Elephas maximus indicus: one gene and its partner. The protein of the gene in region 2 binds, or shares a complex with, the protein of the main gene of each other region. Links are inferred from orthologs where the notes say so. Each region holds a gene or a part of one and is shown on either strand. Other genes may lie near its edges.

The links. Proteins that work in one complex are often made in the same cells at the same time.
Region 1: PFDN2 (region 2) and PFDN6 share a complex: the UniProt entries of both Homo sapiens proteins name them as parts of the PAQosome complex. The link is inferred for Elephas maximus indicus from reciprocal best matches to the Homo sapiens genes PFDN2 and PFDN6.

The regions. Positions count from the first base shown.
Region 1 is NC_064819.1:96,086,180-96,088,803, forward strand, and holds PFDN6 (prefoldin subunit 6), read left to right. Parts: upstream 1-742; 5' UTR 743-994; coding exon 995-1,058; intron 1,059-1,306; coding exon 1,307-1,377; intron 1,378-1,464; coding exon 1,465-1,589; intron 1,590-1,836; coding exon 1,837-1,966; 3' UTR 1,967-2,004; downstream 2,005-2,624. Other genes in the region: WDR46 (WD repeat-containing protein 46), read right to left, coding at 1-94, 355-498. UniProt on the Homo sapiens protein: Binds specifically to cytosolic chaperonin (c-CPN) and transfers target proteins to it. Binds to nascent polypeptide chain and promotes folding in an environment in which there are many competing pathways for nonnative proteins.
Region 2 is NC_064821.1:199,927,446-199,931,198, reverse strand, and holds the start of PFDN2 (prefoldin subunit 2), read left to right. Parts: upstream 1-1,059; 5' UTR 1,060-1,096; coding exon 1,097-1,171; intron 1,172-3,753. Other genes in the region: NIT1 (deaminated glutathione amidase), read right to left, coding at 1-10, 278-376, 944-945. UniProt on the Homo sapiens protein: Binds specifically to cytosolic chaperonin (c-CPN) and transfers target proteins to it. Binds to nascent polypeptide chain and promotes folding in an environment in which there are many competing pathways for nonnative proteins.

The DNA.
Region 1 (2,624 bases), on a different chromosome or scaffold from region 2:
GCTCCTGCTTCCTCTTCTTGCTACGAGAGGGTCCTGGGGAGGCTCTAGCAGCGGTCGGTGAGGTCTCTTCTTCCTCCCAGTATCGCCGAGGTTTCTACCGGCAGATGAGGGACCCTGATGCTCCGCTACCCACGACCCTTGCACCCCCGGACCCTGCAGTTAAAAAATTCCCTTCCCTTCCCAGAGAGACCTCTACCTTCCTCTTGGACTGAACTCTATTTTTCTTCGGTGGGACATCCCCACCCGGCTTGGGGGCAGTCTCCATCAAGCCCACCAGATGATGATCCACGTGCAAACTCCTCTCAGCTGTCCCACAGTAGGCTAGGAAACCCCCGGAAGTGCTCTGATCCTCACCCAATGAGAGCCGTATACCAGGTCTGAAGCCCTCTGGCGCCATCTTAAGTGAGGGTGAGCGCTCCTTTGCGAGGCGGGGTTGTCTTGGCTATGAGTCGGAATCGACTCGACGGCAATAATACGGGTAGTCCTTCGCACCTCCATCCCGAACGGCAGTTTTTGCTCTAGTAATAATGCCACTGTGGATTAAAGAACGCCAAATCGCGGCACCAAGTAACAGTGAAGTTTTTTCCATCTAAGTTTTCCCATCTTGCCTAAAATCTTCTCAGTCCAGTCTTGTTAGCAGAACGCCTCTCATCACACATGTCAGAACCACACTTCCCGGCGTGTCTCAGAAGGCAGCGTCCGGCGCCGTCTTTTCCCAGCATTCCTTGTTTACTTCCGGGGTTAGTAATTCTAAAGGGAGAACGTGAATAGGGCGAGCTTTCGACTGAAGGGGTTGAGGTCTCGTTTCACCTTATTCCTTGGGGCTGGGACAGAGTCGATATTCGCAACGGGGAGAGGTTGCGGTGTCCTGAGGGGCTGCTTCTCAAGAGTGCTGTCTGTTCCGCCGGCCAGGCCAGGAAGGGAAGCTCGGGTACCTTCCAGAGTGTCAGACCCAGCGCCCCTCTCCCGCTCCTCGCAGGTTGTTGTCCCCGCCATGGCTGAGCTGATCCAGAAGAAGCTACAGGGAGAAGTGGAGAAATATCAACAGCTACAGAAGGGTAAGGGAGCAGGGTCGGTGTGGCCTCACCCCAATCTCTTCACTCACGCACAACCCAAAACAGTAACCAAGACAAAATTTTTCTGCCCCACCCACGCCCCTGTGTGAAGCCCCATCCCCTCCTCAATATTCCCCGTATCCATCGACCCATCTTTGTCTATTTCTTCAGCTCCATTCTCCTGACTAGGATTGTAAGAGTCGGGTGGCACATTTGATGTCTCTCATCATGTTTTTCCTTCCACTTCCCAGACTTGAGTAAGTCTATGTCAGGACGGCAGAAGCTTGAGGCGCAACTAACAGAAAATAATATCGTGAAGGAGGTGAGGGACTGGAATTTATGGGGCGGGAAGTGACTGGGATTTGTGGGGTGATGGTTCTGATCGTATATGTCCCTCTCCTCTACTCAGGAACTGGCCCTACTGGATGGGTCCAACGTAGTCTTTAAACTTCTGGGTCCTGTGCTGGTCAAACAGGAGCTGGGGGAGGCACGGGCCACAGTGGGGAAGAGGCTGGACTATATAACCGCTGAAATGTGAGTCTGTCCCAAACGCTGTAATGCAACTGACACTGTTGGAGTAGTTGCTGAGGAACCATTGTAGAGCAGCTCTGCACAGTGGCCCCTGATTGTGCAGTCCTCCACATCCTCCTTCCCTTTTAACCCTCCATCTCCTCCCTCCCCTAGATCTCAGCTTTGCCACTTATCTTTCTTGCTTTCAGTCTTTCAGTAGTCTCACTAATTTTTCCTTTTCTGTTTCTTTGTCTTCCTTGCCTCTCCTCAGTAAGCGATACGAATCCCAGCTCCGGGACCTGGAGAGGCAGTCAGAGCGACAGAGGGAGACCCTTGCTCAGCTGCAGCAGGAGTTCCAGCGGGCCCAGGCAGCAAAGGCAGGGGCTCCTGGGAAGGCCTGACCCTGTGGAGGTGGGGGGAGGGTGGGGAGGAGGGAATGAGGCAGCTCTAGATCTATACTGTAGCTAATAAAATGTGAAAACACTTGGTTCTGTTTTCTGACCAGCTACTCTGTCAAGTTTCTCTCTACATATTCTTCTGGCCCCTTCCACCTTATATGCCACTTACATTACTGTCTGAGGCCCATATTTTTGCAACTGGAGTCTCTCTTGGCAGGGCAATCTTTTCCTTCTTTCTTGAAACCAAAACCTGAAAGGTCTCAAATTTGTTTCTTGCCTGCATTTACAACCCTTCACATTCCCTTATCTTGGTTGGCGTGACCAACCAAGGAAACATGGGCAGGGCGTTTACAATGCAACATAGTGTTAGGAATATCGGTTTAATTGAAGAATCACAGTTCTCTAACCTGAGACCTCAGCATGAAATGTGGTTACCGTCCTTGCTATGAATACTTGTCATCCTTCCAAGAGCCATGGCATCTCTTTTAGTTCTTTTTAGTCTGTTTTCTTAGAATTTGTTTGTAGCTTAAACTGATGTAAATTCCCAACGTGCCTTATGGTTTGTAAGTTCTCTAAGCTCATGTGTTGCCCACAGGATTGTTCTTTCATCTCTGTTCTCAAATTTTTTCCTAGAAATTTGCAGCCAGAGGATTTTTTCATA
Region 2 (3,753 bases):
GGCTCTGGGCCTGTGAATGGCACAGACAGAATTCTCAGACATCCCAGCATGGGGAAATTCAAGTTTAATGATAAGGGGTTTAAATGGGGAGACAGGAAGGCTGGACTTCCCTTTGATTCTGCTCTTAACAGGGCACACTGACCAAAGCCTAGTGGGTTCACCAATCAAATGTTCTGTGGATGGTTGGCACCCCTGTGTCTCCCCACCATCCATTCATTTAACATTCACTGAGTATCTACTATGTGCCAGGCACTGAGGACACAACAAAACACATTACCTGTGCTGAGCACAAAGTACTGAGAGTCGAGGTATTCGGAGTCCAGGACACAGAAGGAGGGGCAGGAGCTGGTGACAAGGCCTGATGATGAAGCCCAGCCTGAGGAAGATGAAAAATCAGCACACCGATCCCTCCTTGAAGCCATACGTTTCTGGGATTCTCTAACTTCTCCCTTCACACTGTGAGGCTGAATCAGAACCCTGCCAGTAAAAACTCCCAAGTCTTCAAAACACTCTAAGCAATCATAGGCTACAGGAAGAGGTCACAAAGTAGGAAAGTAGAGGAAGGGGCTCTGCTGGGCGCCGGAATACTTGGACTTACAGCGATCTCACATTACACAGAAGCCCTTTTCCTCTGTCAAACGTTTCCGCAGTTCAAAAGTCACCTACAGGAAACTTCCTTGATTTTCCCAGGCCTTTCTTCTCGACTGTGCGTCTGCACAGCTTTATTGACTAAACGCATATTTCCCCCTCACACCGAGAATCTCCGAAGGGAAGTTCACCCTCCCTCGATCCCGGCCACGAGTACCCAGATCCCAACCCGTGCCCCCACCCTCCAGTCAACCCATCCTTCTCCGCCTCTCCCAGGGGCCGCGCCTCTGTTGCACAAGTTAAAGCACCGCAGGTGGAATTCACCGCGGCCGGCGGGACGGGAAGCAGGTCCTACATCAGGATACAGCCGAAACCATCAGCAAGGTCCGGGGCGAAGAGCGGCCTGGAGCCAAAGGCGCCGGAGGCGAGTGGGCGGTAACTCCAAGACCGGACGTGACGCACGGCGGGGGCTGAGCCGCGCAGGCCGGAAACCCAGCAGGCGGCGAAGATGGCGGAGAACAGCGGTCGCGCCGGCAAGAGCAGCGGTAGCGGCGTCGGGAAGGGGGCGGTGTCGGCCGAACAGGTGAGAAGCGGAGAACGCCAAGGAGAACAACCCCGGCTGGGTCCGTAGTTGATGCGAGGAGAGGGGGGCCTGTGGCTCGCATAGGCCTTTACCCGAGTTGCACATTTGCATGGCCACCTAGAGAGGGGAGGGTCCTTGGAAACGCCAGCCGAGCCCCCCGGGAGAGAGTGGGCCGGTGGGTAGGTGAGAGCCACGCCCCGCTGGGGTGATGGGTGAACCTGGGAGAGTGGAAAGCCCTGGGGTGCAGAGCCTGGGAGGTTGCACAAGTCTGAGGGAAGATGGGTCGTCACTTTCCCCACCTTCCCTCTGCACCCCCGAGGCAGGATATGGCCGGGCAAGGCTGCTCATAAGGAATCCTAGGGCCTTAGACAACGGGCTGGTTGTGTAGTATGTTGTTACGTGACCCTGGAACCACGTGGACAATCGCCGCCACTCTGCAGAGCCACGTGACTCACATACTCGAACAGCCTAGTGTTCTATACTAGATTCGGGTGTCATTACTAGATTGAATTTCTTAAGAGACCAAAAGCCTTTTTCTGATCCAAGTTTGCGTTTCTCCCAGTGCTTAGCGTCAGAGACATTTGATAAATTAATCAGAAAGAACCTTTGTGGCTTGGAAACCATGGTTTGCTAATAGTGGGAAAAAAAAATAGTGTTTGATCGGAATGGTAAGAAACCTACACAATAGAAATGAAAACATATTTAAACAGGATCAGTAATCAAGTGGCATAAGGTTGCATTTGAACTTAGCTGTTTTAATTACAAGTTCATTCAATTATTTGTTGAACAGTTACTACAGGCAAAGGTACCTTGCATAAAAAATTTTAAAACCGTCCGGTGCTATCAAAGAGCTGATAGCCTGGTGGGGAAAATAAAACACAGAAAATACTCATATGAAGCAGAAGACAAGTGTCCCAAGAGAGATGTAAAGTGCTATGGAATTTTGGGGAGGAGGGAAGAGAGAGTTTCTTACTTAGGGGCAGGGCTTTGAACCGGTTCTTCCTGGGTCAGTCTTGGCCAAGGAAGCAACACGAAACAGACCCAGATTTTTAAAATTTTGGTGAACCGGAATGATACCCTGAAGGGAAAAAAATAGGTCGAAACCCTGCTAGAAACCTAATCTCCGTCTTAGAAAACAAGGGCAGCATACGAAGTTGCACAGCAACCAAATCTCTTGCCGGTGGGATTTTGAGCGGAGTCAGAAACATTGGTGCCCCTCTCAAAGATGGCAGGAAACTGTGTGCGTTGCTCTCCGCAGTCCTGCCAGTAATCCAGTTTCATGCCTCAGGCTCCTGAGAGGGGTCATTATGCCTTTTTTGAGTCTCCCATTCCAGGGCTTTGACCATTTTTCCTATTCCTAGTTAACATTCCGGAGCACCCAAATTGTAAAAATTGGAGTCTGTTCGGGTTGTGCTTCATTGGCCATGACTGAATCAGTTGGAACTACTTCAGGGCCCTGCTTAGGGGAAAAGCGGGAGGGACGGAAGTAACCTAGTACTTCTTAAGGGTCTGCCATGTACCAGGCACTCTCCTGGGTACAGGGAAACATACAAATGAAATTGTCTTTGTCTTCAAGTAGCTCACATGCTTACAAACCAAAGATTTTCAGTGTGCCTCACAGCCCCTCCTTTATGGTTGCTCAAGGAGTGACCCCTTAACTTAGCAAGAGGTTATGGAATTTTGGGAGCAGGTGGGCAAGGGAACCTGTGGTGTAGAGGGGATGGCTAAGAGCATAAGAACAGTGCACTGAGATCAGACAGCCCGGGGTATGAATCTCATTTCTTCTGCTTACTCTCTATATATGATCTACAATGAGTTCCCTCAGCTTTTCCCATCTGTAAAAACATACTAAATAGAACTGACTTCATCACCGTATGTTGATAATTAGGCAAAACAACATAAAGTGTTTTCTAGAGGAGATTCTTCTTCAGCTCAGTTCTAAAAGATAAATTAGTTAAGCAAAGAAGGAAGTAGAAGATTTTCTAGATAGAGGAAATAATGTATTAAAAAGCACTAAAGTATGGAGTTGCCCAGCAATTTTGGGGAGCAGGTGGACTCAAAGTTTGAGATGGATTGCAAGATTGAGAGTGGAGTAAAAGAGGAATTGCTCTGGTTTTTGTCTTTGGTGGATAATGGTTCTTTGGGGAATGTAGGAGAGTGAACAAGTTTGTGGGGAAAAATGAGTTTAATTTAGGATTTTGAATTTCAGTTTCTCATGGGATATCCCAGTAGAGACATTTAGTAGGTGGTTTGATCTATAAATCTTGATTAATAAATCCTGAGTTACAGAAGGAAATTTGAGTTGGAGATACAAATTAGAGAGTTATGAGCTTATGGATAGTAGATAAAGCCCTGGTTGTGGATGAAGTCATCTGGGGTATAAGAATGGCGTGGAGGCAGCATCTGGCCCCCTCTAACTTCACAAGGGGGAAGAATCATTATTATCAGTGTCAACAACCCAAGGCTGATTGCATGTCTCCACCCTCCAGCCTTTTTACCAACTCTGATACCATCTGTCACTCCCATGGCAGTCTACATCTTTGTTGGGTTTGATAATTTGCTGCAGTGGCCACCCAAAACTC